7 linked regions of the Tribolium castaneum genome follow. The protein of the gene in region 3 purifies or fractionates together with the protein of the main gene of each other region. This does not show direct contact. Links are inferred from orthologs where the notes say so. Each region holds a gene or a part of one and is shown on either strand. Other genes may lie near its edges.

What was found.
Region 1: the proteins of MrgBP (region 3) and Eaf6 purify together in Homo sapiens (co-immunoprecipitation; 4 studies listed by BioGRID and IntAct, counting the BioPlex papers as one, with this or other methods). This does not show direct contact. The link is inferred for Tribolium castaneum from reciprocal best matches to the Homo sapiens genes MRGBP and MEAF6.
Region 2: the proteins of MrgBP (region 3) and pont purify together in Homo sapiens (co-immunoprecipitation; 6 studies listed by BioGRID and IntAct, counting the BioPlex papers as one, with this or other methods). This does not show direct contact. The link is inferred for Tribolium castaneum from reciprocal best matches to the Homo sapiens genes MRGBP and RUVBL1.
Region 4: the proteins of MrgBP (region 3) and YL-1 purify together in Homo sapiens (co-immunoprecipitation; 5 studies listed by BioGRID and IntAct, counting the BioPlex papers as one, with this or other methods). This does not show direct contact. The link is inferred for Tribolium castaneum from reciprocal best matches to the Homo sapiens genes MRGBP and VPS72.
Region 5: the proteins of MrgBP (region 3) and Tip60 purify together in Homo sapiens (co-immunoprecipitation; 8 studies listed by BioGRID and IntAct, counting the BioPlex papers as one, with this or other methods). This does not show direct contact. The link is inferred for Tribolium castaneum from reciprocal best matches to the Homo sapiens genes MRGBP and KAT5.
Region 6: the proteins of MrgBP (region 3) and Nipped-A purify together in Homo sapiens (co-immunoprecipitation; 3 studies listed by BioGRID and IntAct, counting the BioPlex papers as one, with this or other methods). This does not show direct contact. The link is inferred for Tribolium castaneum from reciprocal best matches to the Homo sapiens genes MRGBP and TRRAP.
Region 7: the proteins of MrgBP (region 3) and Brd8 purify together in Homo sapiens (affinity purification with mass spectrometry; 10 studies listed by BioGRID and IntAct, counting the BioPlex papers as one, with this or other methods). This does not show direct contact. The link is inferred for Tribolium castaneum from reciprocal best matches to the Homo sapiens genes MRGBP and BRD8.

Annotation. Positions count from the first base shown.
Region 1 is NC_087398.1:15,243,147-15,245,482, forward strand, and holds the end of Eaf6 (chromatin modification-related protein MEAF6), read left to right. Parts: intron 1-1,436; coding exon 1,437-1,681; 3' UTR 1,682-1,836; downstream 1,837-2,336.
Region 2 is NC_087395.1:13,831,749-13,835,880, reverse strand, and holds the start of pont (ruvB-like helicase 1), read left to right. Parts: upstream 1-1,332; 5' UTR 1,333-1,412; coding exon 1,413-1,553; intron 1,554-1,603; coding exon 1,604-1,907; intron 1,908-1,962; coding exon 1,963-2,225; intron 2,226-4,132. Other genes in the region: Abcd3 (ATP-binding cassette sub-family D member 3), read right to left, coding at 325-564, 617-738. UniProt on the Homo sapiens protein: Possesses single-stranded DNA-stimulated ATPase and ATP-dependent DNA helicase (3' to 5') activity; hexamerization is thought to be critical for ATP hydrolysis and adjacent subunits in the ring-like structure contribute to the ATPase activity.
Region 3 is NC_087396.1:22,638,448-22,642,584, reverse strand, and holds MrgBP (MRG/MORF4L-binding protein), read left to right. Parts: upstream 1-1,337; 5' UTR 1,338-2,520; coding exon 2,521-2,608; intron 2,609-2,655; coding exon 2,656-3,236; 3' UTR 3,237-3,313; coding exon of another isoform or gene 3,314-3,484; 3' UTR 3,485-3,536; coding exon of another isoform or gene 3,537-3,718; 3' UTR 3,719-3,763; downstream 3,764-4,137. Other genes in the region: Atac2 (cysteine-rich protein 2-binding protein), read right to left, coding at 3,314-3,484, 3,537-3,718, 3,764-4,057.
Region 4 is NC_087397.1:8,922,175-8,925,901, forward strand, and holds YL-1 (vacuolar protein sorting-associated protein 72 homolog), read left to right. Parts: upstream 1-1,467; 5' UTR 1,468-1,613; coding exon 1,614-1,750; intron 1,751-1,800; coding exon 1,801-1,927; intron 1,928-1,983; coding exon 1,984-2,080; intron 2,081-2,131; coding exon 2,132-2,582; intron 2,583-2,971; coding exon 2,972-3,191; 3' UTR 3,192-3,227; downstream 3,228-3,727. UniProt on the Homo sapiens protein: Deposition-and-exchange histone chaperone specific for H2AZ1, specifically chaperones H2AZ1 and deposits it into nucleosomes.
Region 5 is NC_087402.1:5,803,389-5,807,416, forward strand, and holds Tip60 (histone acetyltransferase Tip60), read left to right. Parts: upstream 1-1,455; 5' UTR 1,456-1,850; coding exon 1,851-1,901; intron 1,902-1,956; coding exon 1,957-2,014; intron 2,015-2,064; coding exon 2,065-2,133; intron 2,134-2,182; coding exon 2,183-3,016; intron 3,017-3,066; coding exon 3,067-3,229; intron 3,230-3,290; coding exon 3,291-3,507; 3' UTR 3,508-3,528; downstream 3,529-4,028. UniProt on the Homo sapiens protein: Catalytic subunit of the NuA4 histone acetyltransferase complex, a multiprotein complex involved in transcriptional activation of select genes principally by acetylation of nucleosomal histones H2A and H4.
Region 6 is NC_087401.1:16,675,661-16,678,123, reverse strand, and holds part of Nipped-A (transcription-associated protein 1), read left to right. Parts: intron 1-459; coding exon 460-1,579; intron 1,580-2,463. UniProt on the Homo sapiens protein: Adapter protein, which is found in various multiprotein chromatin complexes with histone acetyltransferase activity (HAT), which gives a specific tag for epigenetic transcription activation.
Region 7 is NC_087396.1:10,840,237-10,844,534, forward strand, and holds the start of Brd8 (bromodomain-containing protein 8), read left to right. Parts: upstream 1-1,498; 5' UTR 1,499-1,899; coding exon 1,900-2,290; intron 2,291-2,411; coding exon 2,412-4,298. UniProt on the Homo sapiens protein: May act as a coactivator during transcriptional activation by hormone-activated nuclear receptors (NR). Isoform 2 stimulates transcriptional activation by AR/DHTR, ESR1/NR3A1, RXRA/NR2B1 and THRB/ERBA2.

The sequences.
Region 1 (2,336 bases), on a different chromosome or scaffold from region 3:
AGGGTAAAAAATATCCTAACTATGTGGATTTAGTTTTGTAACACATGGGCTTTAAATAAATTCTGTACTAGTTCAGGATTAGTTCTAAAAATCGTTTTTGTTTGAGTTTCAGAATTTGCAAAATAATATTGCATTGAAATTGAAATTGAGGTGTATACGTACAGTGTCATTCTGCTAAAAGTATTTTCTTCCTGTGTCTCAAAACTCAATAATTACACAGAGAATTTTTCGGCAGTTCTTTATACATAATTTAAATTAATTAATATTAAGTCACTGACGAAAAAATTCTAATGATATTCTTTCTGAAGGGAACCATTAATAATAAAAAAATTGTTTCTAGCCACCAAAAAATAAAATTATTGTGTTGTTCATATTTTCCAACATTTTTAATTGTAATCAAACTGTAATTAAGATTGAACTTGTGATTTACTTTGCCAAGATTAACTTAATCGATGATTATTTTTTTTATCTATTTTTGCACAAAAATTTTTTCATTGGCTTAATTAAACTTTATTTTAAAAATTTATAGGAAAATTCCGAAAAAAAAATGCGTAGAAAGATTTAATTGATAGCAAACGCTCATCTTTATGATTTTAGCTTTAAAAATATACTTTTTTAGACTAACCCTGTAGAAACATCGAAAATTATGAATTTAATATAAAGTTGAAAAAAGAGTAAATTTCTAATGCCCCAGTGTTTTTTATATTAAAAAATAATTAAAAATGAAAATTGAGTTTTAAGTTAAGGGTAAATAGGTCATAAATACCTAATTTTTAGTAGCGTTTGACGCCTGTCATATTTGAATTTAGTGTACGTTATTCTAATTAAGTCAGAAAAAATTCCCATGCTGTAACTTGATGACTATAAATGGAAAATATTTACATAATAACAGTGGGGCAAAAATGCGGAAGTAATCCGTAAATTAATTATGGCCCCAGCAATTTAAAAACCATTGATGTCAACATAATTTTTCTAATGAACGCTTTTTAGAAATTAATTGTGTCGGAAAATTTGCTTGTTTACCGTGGAATCTCTCTCATTTTTAAAGTTACTTTTACTTTTTCATATTTTTTGTTTTTTTAATAATTGTATCCTGCCTCCTATTCACTTAATTAGCAACTAAAATTTTGTGATAGTCTATAAACGTTGTTTTTGGCGATGGAATGTAGACATTTTGTAATAACAGTCGCCAGAACAATCGGTCATTGTAACGCGTTTTGTAGTAATTAGTTTGGAAATACCTTAACAGAAAAATTTACAAGGCCACTGATCCGATCTACTTACATTGCACAAAATCGCCGCTTTTATTCATCGTTCATTTTTTCAGCCGAATGATTTGGCAATTAAATTGCTAAAACCGTCTAGTTTTTCTGTACAGGTATTACGTTCAAGCAGTTACTTTTTCAAGTAATTTTAGTTTTATTTTTTACTCGTAGTGGAGCCGCACAGCGATACTGAATCTCAAACTAATGGAGATTCTAGTGATACTAACTTAGGTCCTAATTCGAACCATATAGATTCTGGGATGAAAAATGCAGGAAAACACTCGACGAATTCCTTGAATGGTGTACAGAACGGGCTTGACCATCGAAATAGCCCCAATAGAGACGTTTCGGCCAAACAGAAAAGTTTCAGTGCAAGTGCTAAAAAAACTAATAATAAGAAAGCTAGACACAGATGACTTTTTGTGCTGTTTTCTCAACCTATTTGTGTGTGTTTACAGTTTTAAGGTTTTTCAATTGTGAGTTTGGAATCTAAGTACCTGCATATTGAAATTGTACACTTTTTACCGATGTAATTGTTTGGAACAATAAATAAAATTATTCAGCAATTAAATGATTTCCTTCATTCAAATAAGAAATAAGTACGGTAAGTGTATGTGTCTATAAATTTAAGTATTTATGTAAGTTCAACTTTCTTTAAATTGTTTTATCTTTTCAACACTCATTGCTGCATTATAAAATTGTCTGCTCGTAAATGTCATTTTCTTAGTTTTTATTACGCTTTTGCGTTAGAAATTATTACAAGGTATTAATTAATTAGACGAACATAAATTATAAATCGTATAAAGTAAATAAACTTTTTCTTGTGTAAGATTTATGTCAAAAACAAACACAAAGGTGTGCGACTAAACTCCAAAGAAATTGTAATCTCATTACTACACCTCGTTTTTTCGGATTATGTTTTTTCTATTAGGTGAGAGAATCCGATCATTAGCGTATTAGAATATCCGTTTAATTTTTTTGCGAAAGTATTTGAAAAATCTTGTTTCTTATACAAATGGTTTTGTAATATGCCAGACGTGTTTAGTAAAAGCATTTCTCTCCACAAATAAC
Region 2 (4,132 bases), on a different chromosome or scaffold from region 3:
AAATACCAACTGTAGGGTGAAAGCTGTGTCAACAGCAATATCACAACGGTAAAATATTGGTGGTATTTTTCCTCTTTAGATTCAGACAGATAATGAACCCCTCAAGGTTAATGAATTTTAATTAAATCGGTGACTTTATACAAATATCCAGTCACGATGATAACACGGTAAAAAAGCAAAAATATTTCTACCAAAACCGTTGGCTAAGACGGCATAAATATTTGACGCCTTTACTTAATCACATAAAGTTCAGATTCGGAATGCAATTACATAACCTCTAAGCTTCCTTAACTGAAGTAACCAACAACTCATTGTTCGATTTACCTTTCTATTTTCGTTCCATTATCTATCATCCATAAATCACACACAGATCTAGCCACTAAACTCGCAGCTACAAGGAATAGAAATCCCGCCTCAGGTGAAGTCCATCCTGGGATAATTATTCTAAGTAGGTGATTAAGTTGCTTAAGAAATTGCCTATCAACTTGCGCCTTAATCCTATTTTCTTTCTTCTCAGATATAAAATATTTCACTTCTTCATCCACGGTTTTCCTGACTTTTCTCCTAGAACAAAACCGGAGTCAAACAAGTCTCGAAGTGGGGTCAATTTTCATACCTGTCCAGTTTGTACAAATTTTTTCTTCGTCGTGATATTAAAATCCATAATAAAGCTGTCGATGCTCCAGCGGCTGCAAGAGCATTGTTTCTTGTCACATATTTGCTAAAACTGGGTGCCATTTTACTTCATCTTTTCGCACTTTTCACAAGAAGTATTGAGTGATCGTGACCAAGCAGTTTTCCGATCAATTGTATTTGTTTCCACTCACTCATCCACAAACACTGACACCTAACGTTTAAGCAGACTTTACCAAGTATTTTACTGATTTTACTGAGCTCCAGTCAGCGACTGTCATTGGAGCTTCGACCGATCACATGATTTTGGCCGAACCTGCAAGACAGGGACAGCCGCAATTTGAGAAAGAGACAACAAACACGCCAAATACTCACCTGTGGAATGCATTAACCGATCGTTAAAATCGAAAGGATTCATTAAAGGAAAATTAGAAAGTTTTCCATTTTGTGATAATTGACAAATGGCCGTTCTGTCATGTTGAGCTGACATGCCATTTCTCAGGTGTCTCAGGTGACTCGATCAATGTAAAATTAAATTCGCAATTTCTTTAAAATTTGACTAGGTCATAGTATTATAATGAAACATTTCAAAAATCACTTTGTGACTGCTGAGTTCGAACAGAATATTAAAAACGATTTTTTAATCAAAAATGAATTTGAAATGGTCACTATGACCACCCCAACGCTCCAAAATTCTCCAACCGGTTGTTGCCATACCAACATCACAACAATAAAACTCAAATTGATCAAGCAAAGTTTGGTTAGCGTGTTTTCCAAAAATGAAGATTGAAGAAGTGAAAAGTACGGTGAAAACGCAACGAATAAGTGCCCACAGCCACATTAAAGGTTTAGGGTTAGATGAGAATGGTTTCGCGTTGCCAACAGCGGCCGGCTTGGTCGGCCAAGAACAGGCTAGGGAGGTTAGGTTTGTCTTTTTTAATCAGAGTTCGGCTAAATTCAGTGGTTTCAGGCCGCAGGGATTGTGGTGGATATGATTAGGAGTAAGAAAATGGCCGGACGGGCTGTGCTTCTAGCGGGTCCCCCTGGGACCGGTAAAACTGCGATAGCTTTGGCCATCGCGCAAGAACTGGGTAATAAGGTGCCCTTTTGCCCCATGGTGGGGTCCGAGGTTTACAGTTCTGAGATTAAGAAGACGGAGGTGTTGATGGAGAATTTCCGGAGGGCCATAGGGCTGCGCATTAGGGAGACTAAGGAGGTTTATGAGGGGGAAGTTACTGAATTGACTCCTGTTGAAACGGAGAATCCTGCTGGAGGTTTTAGTTTTTAGACACTTTGACAATGTTCTATATATTTCTTTTGGTTTTGTAGGGTATGGAAAGACAGTAAGTCATGTAATTATTGGCCTGAAAACTGCAAAAGGTAGCAAACAACTGAAACTCGACCCCAGTATTTATGAAGCCCTTCAGAAGGAAAAAGTCGAAGTAGGTGACGTTATTTATATTGAAGCCAATAGTGGGGCTGTTAAGCGTCAAGGCAGATCTGATGGATATGCGACTGAGTTTGATCTAGAAGCTGAGGAATATGTACCGCTTCCAAAGGGGGAAGTTCACAAAAAGAAGGAGGTGGTTCAAGTATGTATAATCCGCTCTTAATATTTTTGGATAAACGGTAGCTCCGTGTTTTTTTTCAAGTTTCAAGACAAACTGAACAGTACAAATAAATCAACAAAATTTAATCATGTTTTTGAAAAATTGCTAAATTACTCACACATACATTATTTTTGTCTTAAGACAATTTTACACTTGTGACAGTTATTTTTAAGAGATTGGTGTTGTCACGTAAAGTTGTTGCAGAAATAATTAAATATGGTCAAAAAGCCCATTGTTTTTGACGTTTGTGGAGTATTAGCAATTTTTTTATCCAGAAACGCAATTATACAGGGTGTTTCATATAATTTAAATGCCACCAACATTACATTTTCTCTGGATTGTTCACCCTTTTAAAATTTATTACGGTTTTAGGTAGTTGATTTTTTTAGTATTTTTTTAGTTTTCGCTTAATCTAGCAAAATTATATTAATCAATCTTAAGATTACATTATGTTTACGTTTCTCGAGCATTTTGTGGTCAGAAATAATTTTTTTCGAGACGTTTGGTCAAAATTTCACATTATGTGAAAAACCTTGTTTTTGCCATTTTTGAGTTTTACCAAATTGTTTTCAAAGGAAACACAATAATTTCAATACATCACCGCATTGTGTTATACAGCGTGATTCAAAAGTGACGAATAAACGCTCGTATAGTAAAAAACGAAGTTTAGTTAAGCACAAAAATGAACTCAAATTTTTTTAAGCAAAGTAATTTTGATATATTTTTAAACTGTTTTCCTTAGGTATCCATTTTTGCTATTTTGTTTGCTATGATATCGAATTTCGTTTCCGCTAACTAAAGTCAAAAAAAATATCATCTGATGCACCAATAATTTAACTTAAAAATTTAACTTTGAAGAGCTATATCTCGTGAAAAAAGACTCAAACACTTTTTTGTCATAGGAACTTTTAATTCAGTTTGATGTCTTTTATCAGCACCCCAGAGATTGTCCCCTGCCTTTGAATCACACTGTATTTAAAACTGTTCCAAAAGTAAAAAATCTGATTATTTTATCTTTTTTTTTTTTTCAACTAGAAACTCATTTTTTCCCGGAAATTAAATTTAAAAATAAGCCGAAAAAAAAGCACTTTACATTGTGAATGTGCTATACATTTGCCTTTTTAAGTGCTTAAGTACTGTGCTAGTTTTTTTTTCTTTGGAACTGGTCCAAACTATGGTAAAAAATTGTAGTCTAAATAAATAATATTCTTCAGCTTTTTTAATTACACTAATCAGCGTTTTCAAAAAAAGTAATAATAAAGCTTACTCTAATTATAAACTTAAATGATCACAATGTACTTTTTAAGGCTAAAAACTTAGTTGCTTTCGCTAGACAAGCAGAAAACGACAAATGTTTTTCGAGAAATTTCGTCTGCATCAAACTATGTTAAACGTCTTTAGCAAAATTTTAGTCAGAAACTCAATTAAAAAAACTCTACATTACGTTAAAGAATGTGTTTTATTTTAGCATTTTTTTGACTTAAAGACTCGCATAAAAGTTAATAACTAAGTCAAAAAAAATTTATTTTGATTTTGTAGGCAAAAAAGCAATTATTTGAAAGAATCTTGTCAAAAATACGCCGAATAAACCCACTTTAATTTGAGGATGGTGATATATTTTTCTTTTTTTGAGGATTTAACTACTTTTTTGTTAAAAATCCCGTTGTTTTTCGAGATTTAGATTAGGTAATCAATGACATTATGTGTCCCATTTTATTTATGGACATTTTAGATAGGTTTTTCTAGTCAAGGCATTGTAATTATGTCGCGAAATTTCGTCAAAAATAAGTGGAAGAAATACTGAAATGAAAGAAATATATAAACAAGGTAATTTGGCCTCTTTCAAGCTTTCAAAACATATTTTCGATTTAAAAACTCAATTATTGCGA
Region 3 (4,137 bases):
AAACAGTCATGGAATTGGTGACAACGACCAATCACGCGCTATTGCTTTTGCGCTTAGCCAATCGCACGTTTTTCTTCCTTTCTTACACTTTTTCGCACGACTGTACCAGTGCTGGGCTTAATTTATGCAATGGTACCGTTGCACGCCAATGTGCAAAAGTTCAAACTTGGGCATCCATAAGCAAGCTCAAATTTAAAAAAACTAATTAAAAATTAGCTCGTAACTTTATACACATCCAAATATAATCGCTGACAACGTATGCACCTCCCTAACACAGGTAGGTATTTGGCAAATACTTGAGATTAAGTTATCTGTTTTTGGCCATTTTGCACATTTTTGCCATTTTACTCAACAGAGGAGGAGATACACGATAAAATAAAAAAATAAGAAAAATTTGAAACAAAATAAATATAACAAAATACGTAAAAATAAATATCTGTTTAAGTTTTATAACTGACTGGCTTTTTTGACTTTTAATTTTTCTATGTCACGTCCTATTAAGCGACATCAAAGGTACGGTTTAATTTAAACCCAGCTTTAAACAATTTTAAGCTTCACGTAGTTCACTTGACACTCTATATGTATAATAAGTGTGTATTTCATCCAAAGTTTAGCTCCGCTTATTATAATTATTGACAAAAAATTGTTTTATTTCGGATTGTCATGAGAGAAGAAGAAAGTTAGATTTTTTGTTTTTTTTTGCGTGGAGAAACTCCAAAGTGCGCTGTCGTCTTCATTTACAGCCACTCAATAACACAATGGCAATTATTGACTTTACTGTACAATCCTCGGGCAAAATCGCAGCTTTCGCAAAAAATGTGCAATTTTAATAAGATTTGTGTTTTATCGCGAGATCCGTGTTGGATAAAAAGCAGAGAGGAATGCCCTGGAAAATGAGGGAAAGGCGCCGGATTGCGGCGATTTGGGCCTTAATGGCCTGTTTATTGTCATAACTGTGCGCATAATGGGGTACGATTTGAATTTTAATTGCACAAGTGACGTCAAGTCATTAGACAAGGGAAACCGTTTGCTGGCAAGGCTAAGAATTGAAATATTACAGTCACAGTCGGCTTGACTTGGTGAATTCCGACACAAAAAGACGCCTTACGGGACCTCACAGTCCTCAGAAATGCAACTTTTTCAACGGATAATAGATAATAAAAAAATCATAAATTTATTGCAAATAGGACAACGAACTTTGGTAAAACTGAATGTGGGAAAAAATTAATTATAAGGTGCCCATCCCTTTTTAATAACAAAGCAATCACAAACCTATAAATAGGTGAGTTAAGAGCCCCTCGAGCCAAACAGATGTGAGTTTGCTTACTTTTTAATAGTTATTTGTAGGAGCTGCAAAATGACTACAACTCCAATATTTACCGTAATGTAAATTACAGAATATTTCGCGTACAAACATCTGCTGTTGACTTTCATCGATAAAAACCATTTGAAACTAAGCATACAAAGCCACCCGGACCCTTCCGGGGCCAACAATTCGAATAGTAATGCGGCGAATTTACTGAATCGAAATTATTCCACTTCCATTTCCAAACAATCGATCGGGCATAATTATACGACACCGGGGGTCGCAGTGTCAACACGTCCATAATCACAAGTCACGGTTTATTGCCCTCTTTTCGCCCCCTTTCGGAAGTGAAGGTCCCGGGGCCCGTTTAATTGCAAAATAACCAAAAGCAGCGTTACATAAAAGCTGGAGCCTCCAGCGTTCACGAGTTCAGTCATTTTTGGCCGTTTTTTCCTCCATCTCTGTCTCGATCGATTCTTGAAGGCAAGGCTGAACAAGGCAACGCTGGATTATATACCGGTGTTGTAGAAGAGCCGCCTGACAAGATACCAGGCAATGACCGCAACCAGAACGTTGAACCGAAGACTCCATTTCACCGGAGCGGCTAATTCAGTTCCGGGATGTCTTGTTTATTTATTTGGGCCCCGAATCAACGCCGGGGACCGGACCCACATTGCTCACAATCATTCCAAGCACGGCCCACACCCGAAGCGAATTCCGAGCTCCACAAGTCCGGCTCTGTTCCCGTCTCGGACTTTTCAGGACGAAAAAACGTGATTTGAATCAAATTGCGCCAAAATTTGACAAGAGCACCACGCACACGGCGCCAAATTCCCCAAACCGGCAGTTTTAAATTGAAACTTTGGACAAACTCTTCAGTAAATCATTTACCAACATTGTAGCTCGTGTTTTTAATAACTATCGGTACTTTGACGAGCTCAAATTAAATTTTTTTTAAGGAAAAAGGAAAATACGGGATTCAGGGTCACAAACAAAAAAACGTGTGTCAAGACTTGAATGCATTTATTTTGCAAAAAAAAAATGTTGAAGTGTTCTAACAACATTCTAATGTAGTTGATAATACATCTGTGGCCTGTAAAACAATAATGACTAAAAGATTAATTAAAATTTCAAATTGACCGTGATGGCGGCAGTGGCGCCCTCAAACAGTCATTTGTCAATTGGCGTTTTAAATAATTTAATTCCGTTTTTAAATGATTAAGGGCCCCATGGACGAGATCGAGTGGAACGTGGCGCACGAGGGGCAGCTCCTGGAGGCCATGGTGGGGCACAAGCCCGTCGGTACGTCCCCCACGAACCTAACCTAAAAAACTGAAGCCCCCTTTCAGGCGTCAATAAGTACTTCCAAATGGCGTGCATCTGTGACAAGTTCGCTGATAGTTGCCAGAAGGAGATCAACTCGGACAAGGTGTGGGCCCACCTCGAGACAATGTACAATTTGGAAGCTTTGGATGAGAGTGAGTCGATTCCGTTCCCGAATAGTGAGAAAGAGTTCACACTTCCCGATTCCGACTTCGGTTCCCTCATTGTGAAGAAGGAAGAGGACAAGAAATTGGCGCAGAAAGGGCGCGAAACGCCCAAGTCGCTCAAGGAATTGCGAAAAGATGAAAAGACTCCTGTGAGGAGCAGTAAGGAGGTGCCAAGGCGTGATAGTAAAGACAGTAAGGACAAAACCCCAGTGAGTGCGAAAAAAGAAATCAAGAAAGAGGCTGAAAAGAGTAAAAGTAAAGGTAAGAGTAATAGTAGTACACCAAGGGAGGAAAACAAGGCAAAAGCGAAAAGTGACGACACACCAAAACTGACGAAGCGCCCTACTAGAGGCAGCTCTAAACCTGACGATTCCAGTTCGAGTGGTAAATCTAGTCCAATCACAGTCACACCACCAGTGACAAAAAGGCGACGCATTTAGTTTCTTTCTCACTTTATTAAAATTAATAAAAAGTGCCTCAATAAATTACGTAAAACACGATGCAACTCGGAGCAACATCACCTCTCAAGGCGGCAGAAAAACGCATGTTTCGATTCGCTTGTCTCGCGTAAATACTTATCATAAAAATTCAAAACGACTGCTTCCACCTTAAAACCGAACTTTTGGTACAAAAACAAGGCCGGGTTGTTGATGGACACGTGTAGTGTGATATCTTTGCCGAGACTTGTCTGAAATAATTAATTAACCAACTAGTTTAATAAAAATCGACTTTTCAATTACTTGGATTAAGTGATACAACATGAACTTTCCAATCCCGACGTTTCGCCATCCTGGCCGTGTAAAAATAAAAGAGACGTAATTTTCGGTGTATTTAACATTGGGGACGAGGAACGCAAACGCCACTATTAATTTTTTGTACAAAACTACGCAACTAAAATCCGGATATTGCAAACTTTCAGTTACTGCAACAAAAAATTAAATTGTGTTGTAACATTTCGGACACTTACGATCGATTCCTGGCCAAAAAAAGTTGTTGCAGAGACTGTTAATGGCAGGTATGTGCTCAGGTTGGACGTAGGTGTAGTCAATAGGGGCCCTTGGAGGTAGAACGTAATTTTGTGTTTTTTCGTTTGCTTTCATTTGTATCTCGGCCATTAGGCGTAGCCAGGATGGATAAGTTTCTGTATCTCTTCGTATGTAAGGTTTTAAATAAATGCTGCTGTAAGGTGAGAGAATTAGTTCTTTTCTGATACCACCCATCAACCTGACTCTCATTTCGCTTCCTTTCTGCCTAAACGCGTCTAAAATTATTTTTGGAGTAAATTCTTAAGCCCTGGGACTATGGGGGACCAAAATATTTGGTGGCATGACGAAAAATCGA
Region 4 (3,727 bases), on a different chromosome or scaffold from region 3:
GGCAAAGAAGGAAAATCCTTGGAAAACCATCCTGGCACTAAAATTCCCAACAAACTTACAAACCCAATTTTGACTTATTTAATTACGGTCAAAGTGTCTTTAGGGTGCAGGCTAGTTGTTTGATGTCTGCTTGCTTCACAACCACTTACGAATATCTTACATATTGAGTGTAAAGCTGATAAACAGGGTTTTGTTATTGTCAGAAATAACTGTCAACAATATTACATAACCTAACAACTTTCTTTCTCTGAAATCGGAATATTCGCGGTTACAGTAATTTTTCACTTTATTTTTACAAAACTTATTGGCTGGGATTAGTAATACACAACAAAAAATGGTTCAAAAAACTTTATTTTTGACCTGTACATTTTCCTTTCATTCAAATTACAAGAAAAAATGAAAAACTATATTCTACAAGAAACAATGAGACAAATAAATTAATATTCTAGTCATTCTACAATTCTACATACAGTTTAGGAAACAATAAATGTTAAAATTCGGTTAACATCCTGAAAGGCACAAAATTGTACATATTGCTCATAATAATTGTCATGATTTCAGTTGTTTTAATTAATCAAAGGTTATTTAAAAAAATAGGAAAAAAGCATGAGTGTAGCTGTAATGCTGTTCCTAATGCTAATAAACCTAGGATATGTTGAGATTTGTTAGCTGAGAAAAATTACTGTATCTTAGTTTATGCACATTTGCGACAAACTGGACAACTTCTGTTTTCTTTGAACCATCTTGTGATACACTGATCATGAAATTTATGTTTGCATGGTAAAATAATGCCACCATCACCTTCAGGCAATGGTTCACAACATATCACACATTCCGGAACCGAGTTTCTTCTTTTTTTTCTGTAAAAAGGTGTTTTTGTACGTTGCAGTTACATAATAAGTTACTCACTTGTTCTTTCCTGTATCTGCTGTATCTGGTGTTCTTTCCTGTACCCTCGGTGTGTACACATATGTATACTTATTGTCGCTCTGGTGACAAGAAGCTGTGTTGTTTCTAGCAGTGTAGACTTCATATATGGCCAACCCAATTGCAAAAACCATCGCAGTCATAAGAACTATGCCTTGAACTCCCATCTTTGTTTTCTCTTTTTGTAACGGAAATGTGGCTGGCTATTGTAACAATTACCTACCTTTGCAACAGCAACGTCAGCAGCAGCTGAAGACGACTTATTGATAATTCTGTAATTCCCCTCGATTTATCAGGACCACCAACAAAAAGACGAGAAATAACTCATTTTCACCCTTTTGGTGGGGTTATTGCGGAGGAAAAAATGAGATCAATTCTAAAAATATTCCCACACGCACGTATTTATTCCATTCATTCATTGTAAAGTGCCAAAATCTTTTTTTACCAAAATACGAAAGGACTCGAACGCTTGTTGCAGTGACATATGAAACTTAGCTATTGGTACTTACTGATAATTCTATGGTATCTAGCAAAATACTAACCTTAAAATTTCGCAGTTTGACAGATGGTGTTTAGTGCTTGTGTTTTTTATTTAATTAGGAAAAATATTAAATAAAAACCATTTACTTTGTAATAAAACTTATCATTGGTTTGTTGTCCCTGTCCCAGGCGAGAAATTCGTTACAATGGCAAAAAGAGAAAAACGGGCAAATGCCGGTAACCGTATGGCAAAATTGTTAGATGAAGAAGAAGAATGTCAAGACGAATTCTACAAAACCAATTATGGTGGTTTTGAAGAAACCGAATCCGATAGGGAATACGAGTACTCACTTCTGATTCATTTTGTTCCGTTTTGTTATGGTTTAATTGCAGGGAGGAGGAAGAAGGCGAAGATGTGGTAGATTCCGACTTTAGTATTGACGAAAATGACGAACCTATTTCAGACAATGAGGAGGAGGGTCAGAAGAAGAAACGAAGATTAGTTACAAAGGCTTACAAGGTAATGCACGATTATGACGTTCGATTTTTTGTTAATTTTTATCTGAAACATTGTAGGAACCAGTGCCTGCACCCAGTAAACAAAAAGCAAAACCAAAACCCACAAAACCTGTCCCTAAAGTCAGAACAACCCAACATGAATCCACAGAATACGGTTTGAAAATAACGAGTTAGTTAATAATATTTGGCAACAAACGTGTTACAGAAAGAAAGTCAATCAGGAAGTCCACAGCTGCAAAATCAGCCGCAACAGCACAACGCATCAAAGTACGAAATCTCGAACAAAAGAAAAAAATCAAGAAACCGAAAGAAGAAGAATGGGTGCCAACACAGGAAGAGTTACTCGAAGAAGCAAAAACGACCGAATTGGAGAACTTGAAGTCACTTGAAAAGTACCAAAAGATGGAAAGTGAGAAGAAAACGAAACGAACTGTGAAAAAAGTCATCAATGGCCCTGTTATCCAATACAGATCAACACGAATGCCAATCATTGAGGAAATCAATCAAGATAAAGACATCAAGAACGAATCAGAAAACGTGTGCGAACGCACGTTTATCTCAGTGCTTAATGACCCTAACGATGCCACATTTAACAGCATTTTTGAAAAAAAGACAGCGCGTCCGCTTCCACGACGTCTCAGATGCATTGTCACAGGGTAAAAATAGCTATTTATATGTGCAGGGGCAATTCTTGCTCCCGTCACGTGTACAGGGTGAGTCATTGATATGACATACACCGTCAGTGGTATCGTATTCTAAAATTCTTTGTCCGATAATACAGTCTTCCATTTTTACAGTGCAGTCTAAACATAATTTTTTTAAATGTCAGGGGTTATTTTTTTATTTTTCTACAATTTAATCTGCAGGCATATTACAGTGACTCACCCTGTATATATTTTTTTCGCCTAATTTGGAGGTGCAATGTGCACAGTATGTCTTTCCTGTCTAGGGAGGAAAAGACATAGTTTGCACTTTTGAATTAGGGAGCAAAATATTTTCTAAAAAGCGACGCATTTTTTTATTTTTATTTATTTTGTGTTTTCAGTCACCTTGCAAAGTACGTTGACCCTAAAACGTGTCTGCCTTACCACAGCAGCATGTGTTTGAAGATAATTCGTTCTGCTTATTACCAACAACTGGAAGCTCATGGAGATAAGAGTAATCCAGTAGTTGCAAACTGGCTTAAGTGGTACGTTAAGAATAAGGATAAGTTAAGGAGGGAGTTGGCGTTGAAAGTAAAAACACATCAGGTGGATCACAGTTGATTTATTTTGCTCTATTTAATAAATTTTTATAATACAGTTTCTATTTCTTTCAAATAAAACTGTTTTGGTCTGAGATCAACACGATTAAATGTTAGTGAATGAGTTTGCAACAAATTTGGACGAATGAAAAGCGTCGAAAACGTTTAGTTAATATATTTATTAAACTGGTGCACAAATAATACATTACCATAATCTCAGTAGCCAATAATTTGGCTGAAAATTGGCTTATGAAGTACAACAAGAATTAATAACATTAAATATTATTAATATGACACATAAATTACATCTAGTTTAACATATCATATAAAATTAATAGGTATTTGATAAGCTACCTCATTAATTAATGCCATTATTACTTTGTTAAAATAATTTTAGCACTTGAGTATGAACAGTGTATATCAAAAGAGTAGTTCGATTAACAATGCGAATTTGTTAATAGATTACTGTTTTAATATACAATTCGTTAAAACTCTGAGAAAACGAAATTAATCTCTAATCTAAGTACAACATAATGTAAATATTTATAATAGTTAAAA
Region 5 (4,028 bases), on a different chromosome or scaffold from region 3:
ATAAATTATTTGAGTGCTTTGATTTTACTTATAGTTACTGAATTTAAAATGTGTCACTCAAACGCGATCACTAGTCACCGAATTTAAAATATAAACCGGAAAATTTAGATTTGCTTGAACATACGTCCGTTCGCGACAACGGCAAGTAACAAACTGAATAAATTGAACGAAACGGCACAATACACAATAATTTAAATAAACCGCCTCACCTCACCTCGCTTCGCTTCGCCCCGCCTCCCGGTCCCGCTCCCGATCTGACCCGTGCCGCTGCTCGCTGTCGACTGAAGCGCTCTCGCCGCCTGCGCCGCACACCTAACCTCGGGACACGTCACGGATGTGACGTCACACAAGTCTAAAACAGGTCATTACCAGAAATATTCACTGTCAAAATCCGTCAAATTTAGTAACATTCATACACAGAATTATTCAAAATAGAACAGCATTGATCTAGAAAAATTAATTATGACAAATGTATTTGCCTATAAACGTCTAAAATTATAAAAGTTTCGCATGCAGTCAATGGAAAAATAAAAATGCATATTTTTATTTAAACAGAAACTGGCAATGTGAAATTTTGGTGCGAAAAGTTTTATCACACGAGCCGACAATTCTTTCAGACTAGCCGTGTTATGTGTTATGTTGCTCACAAAACGGACAACAAGGGGGTTATCACGGAGACTCAGCTGTGACGAACGAATTTTATTTTTACATAAAGGTGATTTATTTGTTACCTCAGTCAAATTTTTCAGCGCGATTATTTCAGGCGGCAAAGTGCGCAATTTGTTTTTGTGCAACTGGAGCGACTTCAAGTTGTGCAAATTGGCGATATTTGACGGCAAACTCTCGATTAAGTTATCGCAAAGCACCAAAGCCTGCAGTTGCTTCAGTTGGCCTAGAGTTGAAGGAACTTCCACTAATTGATTGCCACCCATCGACAAGATTTGAAGGCTGCAATCATTATCACGTGTGGTCGTTTTAATCGTCCCCACTTACCAGTTTAATTTCTTTATGTTTTTCGGTATTGTTTTAATTTTATTCCCTCTTAGGTACAGGTACTTTAAATTAGTAAACTCAAACAGTTGTTCGGGAACTGTTCGAAAACATTCCCGCTCAGGTTTAACTCCTGCATGCTCGCACTCTCAGCGAAACTTTTCGGGAGGGATTCGTTACTGAAGCGATTATTTTTCGCAACCAGTGTTGTTAAATGCCAGTACTCGAAAACATCAGGTAAGGTCATAAGGCCGTTGTTGCTGATATGGAGGACTTGGACGTTTGTGACTTTTGACAAGTTTTTGGGGAGCGTTGTGAGTTGGTTGTGGTGCAAAATAATCGACTCTATGTCTTCTCGTTTTGCACAGTCCTTGCCTAGTTCGTCCAAATTTTCTTCGAGTTGTTGCGAATCCAAGAGCAAATAGGCGAAACTCCGTTTGAACTGTGGGCTGCGATTAGGAGAACGCTGCGTTCAAGCGAAGCTAAGGTCAAACGTGTTATCACCAATTTGTGAACAAAGCTTGGTGAGGCGTTAATTTAACAATGAGTCTGAGAATGGAATTGTGTGATTTTATCGAGTGTGCTGGTTTCGGGGGAAACCCCCGAGCAACACCCTACGCCCATGACTAGATAATGATAATTTATTAAATAGTAGACACTTGTGTGTATTGTTTCGGTTCGCCGAATGTGCATATACAGATAAGTCGCATCAAAACATTATTTTGGATAACAATTATGCAATGGAAAAAAATCGTTATGGATATTGCGCATTATGTTTTTTGCGGTAGTTGTGGTGGTGAGGTTTGTTCGGCAATAATTACAATTTTTCCCCCCGAAATTGTGAAAAACAAGCAGAATCGATGAAAGTGGAAATGGAGGAAATCGACGACAGCACAATTTGTGATTCTGTGGTATATTTTCATTAAAAATTGCAAAACCAAAATGTTGACACAACCTCACTTTTAGAATTCGTTAGTGGAAGGATGCAGGCTCCCGGTTCACATGACCGGCACTTCCGACTGGCGTAAGCCCCACTTTGGCACATTTTGCACGTTTTTATGTTTTAAATTGCAGCTTTGGCCGAAATTATCAGTATTAAGGACGTGCAAGGCTCGAAATTGTACTACGTCCATTACGTTGATTGTAAGATTGGACACCCGTTTCGTTCCTTGTGAACTAACTTGGGTTTTAGTTAACAAGCGTTTGGACGAATGGGTGACCGAAGAATCGCTCGACACTCGTAAAGTCCACTTCCCGAGACGTGACGGCGGGAGTAACACTGGAGTCTCAACTCCGAAAAAAATTCACATTGGGGGCGGTGGTGCCATCGGTTCGGTATCAAGGCCCTCGAGCCCTGTGACAGCTGCCTCCGAACTTGTCAACGGCAGTGCTGTCCTAGCAGCAGCGTTGCAAAAACGCATAAATAGGAAACGAAAAGGGCCGTCTCTTGAGAGCGAAGACTCGCAAGATGGGCCCACACAGATGCCCCCAGGGCCGAGGCAGTCTGGGAGCATGGTGTCGCACCATGACGATGTGGTCACCAGGATGAAGAACATCGATATGATCGAGTTAGGGAAACACAGGATAAAGCCGTGGTATTTTGCGCCATATCCGCAAGAAATGGTCAACTTGAGCTGTATATACATCTGCGAGTTTTGCCTCAAGTACCGAAAGAGCAGGAAGTGTCTAGAACGCCACTTGGTCAAATGTAATTTGAGACACCCGCCCGGAAATGAGATTTATCGCAAGGAAAACGTCTCGTTTTTTGAAATTGACGGGCGGAAAAATAAAGTCTACGCCCAGAATTTGTGTTTGTTGGCGAAGCTGTTCCTCGATCATAAAACACTGTATTACGACACGGACCCGTTTTTGTTTTACGTAATGACCATTTTTGATAATAGAGGGTTTCACATTGTTGGCTATTTTTCGAAAGAGAAGGAATCAACGGAAGATTTTAACGTCGCGTGTATTTTAACCATGCCTCCGTATCAGCGAAAGGGTTACGGAAAATTACTAATCGAATTTAGTGAGTTTGAGTGCGAATTTTTGTTGTCGAAATTTCACGAATTGTTTCAGGTTATGAATTATCAAAGTTCGAAGGTAAAACGGGTTCTCCCGAAAAACCTCTCTCCGATTTGGGTTTGCTTTCGTATAGGAGTTACTGGGCACAAGCTATTTTAGAAATCTTAATATCAATGAAGCCAGTGGGTGATAACGAGAAGCCACAAATAACGATCAAGTAAGTATTTTTGATTATTTCTTTATTTTTCGTAATTGTGAAATGTTTGTTCACTTTAAAGTGAAATTTGTGAGTTGACAAGTATTAAAAAAGAAGACGTCATCTCAACTTTACAAAACTTAAACTTAATCAATTATTACAAAGGCCAGTATATTATAACGTTAAATCAGGAAATTATGCAAAGTCACAAAAAAGCCATGGATAGTAGACTTATCCGAATCGACCCCAAGTGTCTGCATTGGACACCTAAAGATTGGGGCAAACGCGCCAAGTGGTAGATCAATAAATGATTTTTTACATTTTCTCTTTTATTAACATATTCCTCTGCCAATCCACACTGTTCCTCCTCACTTAATAATAGTAACACTGCGAACTTGTGTTTTGACGGAGAAACATGGAGAAAACACCGGGTTCAGTAGTACATTTTTTACGAAAATGCATTTTGTTTGTATTTACTGGCACATTTTACGTCCAAGATATTATTAAGTCGAAAGTGGTATTATTTTTGCGTTTACGCATATTTTTTATTTAGAAACTCACTAGTTTCGCAATTGTCAGATTTTACTCTGAAAATCGTCGAATTATTTTTATTAAAGCGAAGTGTGAGTTAAAGTGGACTACTTTTCAAACGTTTTAGTCGTTTTTCATCACCTTGTGAATTTTGAAATCAATGAACTTGCGATTGCAAAACTAATCTTCAATTAATAAAAAAATGAAACGTTTTCCGTTGTTTATTCGTACGTTTTATTGTGTAATATTTTGTTTTGGGTTTGTTTATAATACTGATGGGAGAGGATGT
Region 6 (2,463 bases), on a different chromosome or scaffold from region 3:
TTTTTCTAAGTTTTCAGACCTGACCTGACTGTTGAGTTAACTTAGACTTTTTCTAAGTTTTTAGACCTGACCTGACCTGACTGTTGAGTTAACTTAGACTTTTTCTAAGTTTTCAGACCTGACTTGACCTGACTGTTGAATTAACATGGACTTTTTCTAACTCAGAGTTAACTCATTATTAAAATAACGGACTATAGAGGTTATAAAAAGTTATAAATAAATTCTAACTTACATTCTGTTTGAAATCAATAGGCTTTCCACGAGTTTTTTTGAAGTGAAATTTATTATGACTCATTTAAAAATGTTTTTTTTTTTAATATTCTTTTCTATGTTTTTTCTAATTGGTTTTGAAATATGAACTGTACATTATTTGTGCAGGTTTTTTAAAGCGTTCAGTTTTAATAAAACAACCTATACCGCACATATAATGTATTACTTAGCCAAATTTTTTCCTCTTAGGTCGTTCCTAATTGAGGAAAAATGCCGTTTCCTCTCAAACTTCACCCTTAAAACCGCCGAAGTGGAAATCCCCGGCGAATTTCTCCTCCCCAAACACAACCATTACTACGTTCGCATAACTCGTTTCATGCCTCGTGTTGACGTCGTCCAAAAACACAACGCCGCCGCCAGGCGTCTCTACATCCGTGGTCACAACGGAAAAATCTACCCTTATTTAGTTGTCAACGATTCGGGTCTAGTCGACGCACGTCGTGAAGAACGCGTCCTTCAACTTCTGCGCATGCTCAATCACTGTCTCGGCAAACAGAAAGAGACCGCACGACGTTTTCTCCACTTTACCGTACCGCGCGTTGTTGCCGTCTCGCAGCAAATCCGATTGGTCGAAGATAACCCCGCCTCCATCTCCCTATTGGACATTTTCAAAAAGGGGTGTGCCAAGCTAGGCATCGAGCACGACGATCCCATTCATTACTACTACGAACGCTTGGGTGGGGTGCAGAGTAGGGGAATCAAAGCGAGCCATCAATTGAGTAGGGATATTTTAAAAGGGGTGCAAACAAACATGGTACCAAGAACGTTGTTGAAACAATGGGCGGTCCAAACGTTCCCATCAGCCACCGATTATTGGCAGTTTCGGAAAATGTTCACATTGCAGTTGGCTTTGGCCTGCTTTGCCGAACATGTCTTGCACTTGACGAGACTTAATCCCGACATGATGTACTTGCATCAGGATTCGGGATTAATGAACGTGGCCTACTTTAAGTTTGATGTGGATGATGGGACGGGGGAGTTTGGGGCCACCAGATCGGTGCCCTTTCGGCTGACGCCGAATATTGTCGAGTATTTGTCGAGTATTGGGATTAGTGGGCCTTTGACAGCGTCCATGATTGCGACGGCGAGGTGTTTCGTTTATCCGAATTTTAAAGTAACGGCGATTTTGAAGCCGATTTTGAGAGATGAGATGGTTTTGTCGAGGATGAAGAAGCCGGAGGAAGTGGCAGGGAATAATACGGAGAAGTTGAGCGATAGCGAACAGATTATTAATATGGTCAATAAGGCAGTGACGTCGATCTCCAGTCGGTTGAACAGTTTGGCGCATTTTGACGGAGCTGATAGCAAGGTTAGTGGATACTTTTTTGTTAGTAGATTTTTTTTTCTAAATGAAATGAATTATATTGAAAAGACACGTAAAATAATATAATACTATTATAATAAAATTCCAATTTTTAGTCGTTATATACATATGTACGAAATTAATTGGTCTAAGCAGGACCTAAGTAACAGAAAAAAAAAATTTTGAGCGTAGGACACTTAGATATGATTGTGAGAATAACTATATTTTTCTAAAAATTTTTTTTAATAATGATGCTGGAAGTTTTTGGAAAATGCAGTTTTTACGAAATAAATTATATACAAAATAATTTGCGTGATCCAAGAGTGTATAATCGGTCTATAACTTTTTTGCTATTTGAAATATTGTCATTCTGTTTTTATTATTTGATAGATCTACTGAAATTCCACAAACTAAAAATATTTCTATTATGCCCAGGATGTATACAGAGTGATGAACCAAAGTTATATTTTTTTTAACGGAACACCCTATATATTTTTGCATAATTGGATTCTACGTAAAAAAATAATGTAACTTTATATAAACTATTATGGGTCTATCTTTTTTCGTTTCGGAATTATTCGACTTTTCGTTATAGAAAAGACCAATTTTTGAAAATTCACTGCAAAGTCGCTTATGAATATTTTCCGATAAATTTGCAACAGAAAAATTCAAAATACTTTGAAGTTTTAGGAAATTGTCGACTTTTACTTGAAACACGGAAATCATATACAGGGTGTGTCAAAACGCAAAAAGTTGAATAACTAATTTTTTTTAATGGAACACCATGTATTTCTTTAGACGTATCGATAGCATTTTTTATAAGCTTTCTATTGATATGCGGTTTATATTGCAAATTTACAATATTTTTTAAAGTGTTCCAAATATATTAA
Region 7 (4,298 bases), about 12 Mb from region 3:
AGTGATTTTTTATTAAGTAGTTGACTGAACTATTAAATAAAGCATATGTGTTAATTTAGTTATGTTGCATCAGTGAATTGACTAGCTTAGATACGATTAATTTATTTTTAGTTAAGTGAGTTTTTAGTGATAAAAGAATGGAATTAGCAGGGAGGATGATCTCATCTTGTCTGAATAGCATAAAATAGCAATAGAAAAGTGTACATTGACATGCTTTTATTTTCATCCGTTCACGATGCAACATTCATAGAGTACCTATTTATAAGTAGAATGTAAAAGAATAATGAATATCAATTATATCATATAATTTATGTTAAAATAGGTTTCACAAATTCTTGCCATGATGAATCCTAGCCTAGACTGAAATTATAAATATTGCTTTGTTACGTAATGAGAGTAGAGTATATGAAGTGTTTTAGTTGTAAAGGATGTAGTTACACACACTTTAGGGGTTAAAACTGCAATTCTGTAACGAAGTCTGTTATATTTTTACCGAAAGTGCTCATGCTGTTATCAAATTAGGTGACGTAACTTTGGGAAATGCTTTTGACGATGAGAGCGATTTTAACAAAATCATTTCTTATTCACAAAATTACGATTTGTTGAAAATTTCCTTCACAGTCATATTCACCTTATAAGTAGGGATTTTTTTCAGAATCATGTAAATAAATGTAGAAAAGTGCCTATTTTAAATTGCGCATCGCTACCCTCTTGGTCAACTATTAGAGTAATCTCAAATTATTTAATGTTTTAACTGTTGTTATAATTTGGTTTATAATTGAATAAAGCTGCATTTTTACAGTTTGCCCGCATTTCCTTCAACACACAAAAACATTTCAAACAAATTTATTCAACTACTATGTTACAAAGTAAACTATCATAGCGTGAAACACAGTAAGAGGACCGCAAATCCCAGACGCTCATACTGATTCATGATTATTGCAGCAACGCCAAAACGAAAAGCCGCTTTCATAACTCTTGCATTCCAAAACATTATTATCAGACGCAGCCAAGTTGAGGAAGGTCTTGTCACACTTGTCTCAAACGCTGGTGCATTCACCGGCTTGTCGTTTTTTCCACCACTTTTATGAAACACTCCATATTTGTCGATGTAATAACTGATTCGCCCTTCGGGGGCCATTCTGAATACTGTTTCCACCTTTTTTTTTTTTTTCAAAGAGTATCCTTACATTTGATTGTTATGTATACACTCACAACTTCTTTTTTTACTTCACTTTGGGACACTGGGTGGAGCTACCACCAGAAACAGCTTCCAAAGCATTCGAAAAAAACATTTTTTATTGCATTCCATTCGCAAGAAAGTGAGGTTAAAAATTTGACAACTTGCCACTAAAGTAGCTACCGCGCAAGCTACCGAAATACTTAATAACAGAATATGCCATAAAATTCGACAAATACAAAAAGGTGGCCACAATCTATATGTATTTGATAACATTAAACCAGCTACACCCAAAATACACTAATTAATTAAAAAACAGTCATTAAATTAATACTTTTCGATCATAAAAGCCCTCGTCAAAAATCACGGTCTGTACGTAATATCTAATAATGTCTGCGTATGAAATTTTCAAGATTATTAATTTTTATGAATAATAAGATCTTACGAAATTATTTAGACAAGTGTGCTTGAAACATTACATAATCTTACACTGATTGTGGTTGACTTTCTTTAAAAATCAGGCAAAACTTCTGCATAGTTTGTCCAGGTTTGACACTTTGACAGTTGACAAATATAAACAACGTTCAAGCTTGTTATAACGATAATTCTTGTGTGCGAATTTCTACTTCAAGAATGTTTATTCAGTGATACTATTAGTCACTTTCCTGGCAAGGTTCTTGTATTTGATTTTTGGACGTTCGGGCCAACATAACCTCAAAATGAGTTCAATTGAAGAACGTTTACAAATAAAGCGTGAACCGCTGGATAAATGGTCAATCCGTGAACAGTTGGCTCTAGCAGTGGCTCGTAACATGGACCAGAATTTAACAAGTGTGAGCCGAGCTTTAAAACCCTTTGGTGAACCCAACAGACCCCCTGATTGGTTCCACCAGAAGAACTGTGCAGCCCAGTATGGGGCTCTTTTAGCGAATGTTGAAACACCTAAGAGGAAGAAAAGAACGTCTGGGGGCGAAGTCACTATCGAAACCCCCGCCGAAGTCATTCTACGCAAACTTTTGGCCGAGAGACAAGCTGAGCTCAAGAGACTACTAGCGGAAGAAAAAGCAGAATATCAGAAATTGCAGAGAGATAAAGCTCTGCTTCAGTCAGGTATTCACAATTAAATTAAAGTTGTTTGAAGTTACAGGGGCTATATTAGAGCCTCTCAAACTTAAGACTGTTGCGGAAATTCGGTTAAGTATTTTTTGATAATTAATTGTTTTATTTAAAGGTAACGTAAGTGAAGAACAACTGGATATTTGGTGTAAGGAAATAGATGAAGAGGAACACAGGAAGGAACAAGAAGCCCTGGCACACGAACAGTGGCTAAAGGAGAGGGAGTTACGAAAACAGGAAATAGAAAGAGCGTGGAGACCAGTTAAGCCATCCCCGGTGATTGGTCAAAAACGTAAAAATTCCGAAGCTATGGACACAATCCCAGAGATGGAAAATACAACAGAAGAACAGAAAATCCTAGTGCAGGAGCCCCCTAAACCGGCCCTATCGCCACTTCTGACAAGTCTTCTGAAATCACCATCACAAGTTCCAAACGTTACAACTTCCTCAATATTGCATTCAGCGATTACCAACCAACGGCCAACCAACACAACTACTAGCCCCATGATTGCCAGTCTTTTAAGCTCCTCAACTGGAGAAACAGTTTCTCCAGGATTGCAACTTTTGGTTAGTACAGCTATAGGACAAGAGCCAACCGGAGAAGAAACCCAACAACAGAATGTCAATACTAACGATATCCTCGATGATGCCAATCTACAAATTTTGAAAATTGATGACTTGGCGAGCAGTATCTTGATCCAGAATGGCCCACTTCCAGAAATAAAGAATGACGTTGATGTTATCATCTCCGATTTGATTGAGAACGCGCAGGATATAGTTGCAGATCCGGAACAGCATCTACAACTGGATGGAAACGGTGATCTTAATCTAAATTTGGAACTGGAAGATTTCGAAGAGAGTGAAACTGATATGAAGGACGAAACCAAAGAAACAGAAAAACGGACGGAAACTACAACACCGGCAATAGATCCGTTTGAGTTCCAAGAAGATCCGGAAGTTTTTGAACCCGCTAAACCTGCAACAGCCGTGAAAACAGACGCTTCTAAAACTATGGTAGCACAGGACAGCGACGATCGGTCACAAACTACTGACGAAGCCCCAAATTCAGACAATAAACACTTAACTTCAAATGGCGAAGAATCTCGGGATGAACTGGTAGAAGTAAAAAACGAACCAACTGATGATTCCGATAAGAAAGATAAAAGCACAACTCCTGGATCCGTCGAAATTGTAGAAGTTGTAGTTATGGATGATGAGGATACTGACAAGGAAGTCAATAAAACTGAAGATCCAGCCCATTCCGTTAAAGCGGAACCAAAGAAAGAAACAGCAGGGGAAAGTACAGAAGTTGCGGAAATAAAATCAGAAACAGACGCCAAAGTTTCAGAAAATGAAAAATCTAGTGTAGAGATTGAGAAGAAAGACGAAAGGAAACTGGACGAGTCAACCACATTGACTTCCGACTATAACGAGGAATTGTACGACGATATCAATATGGAAGTGAAAGTGGACAAGACCGGGAAAGCAAAGCGCGATTATTCCAGGACGAAGAAGAAGGACGATAAAGAATTTGATGTTCTCTTGGCCATTGAAAAGGCGCAAAGAGACGAAAGTGAGTTGGTTGAAGAGAGTTTCTCTGACCGGGATTACAGCGAACTGGACCGTAAAGACAGCAAATCGCGGATTAAGAGCGAGAATGAAAGATCTAACAGTCCCTGGACGGAGGAGGAAGATGTGTCTACAATACGGACAAGGAGGCGACTTTCAACTCCTGCGACTCCGATTGATTCAGTTCCAGGATCACCAGTTTCCAGTATATATTTTTACGATGATGATCGGGAGTATCGCAATTGGAAGAAGTCTATAATGCTTGTGTATAGTAGATTGGCTGCAAATAAATACGCGTCACTGTTTTCTAAACCGATCACCGATGACCAAGCTCCAGGGTATCACAGTGTGGTGTATAGACCCATGGATTTGTTGACGATTAGAAAGAATATAGAGAATGGGGCTATAAGAACAACGCAGGAGTTTCAAAGAG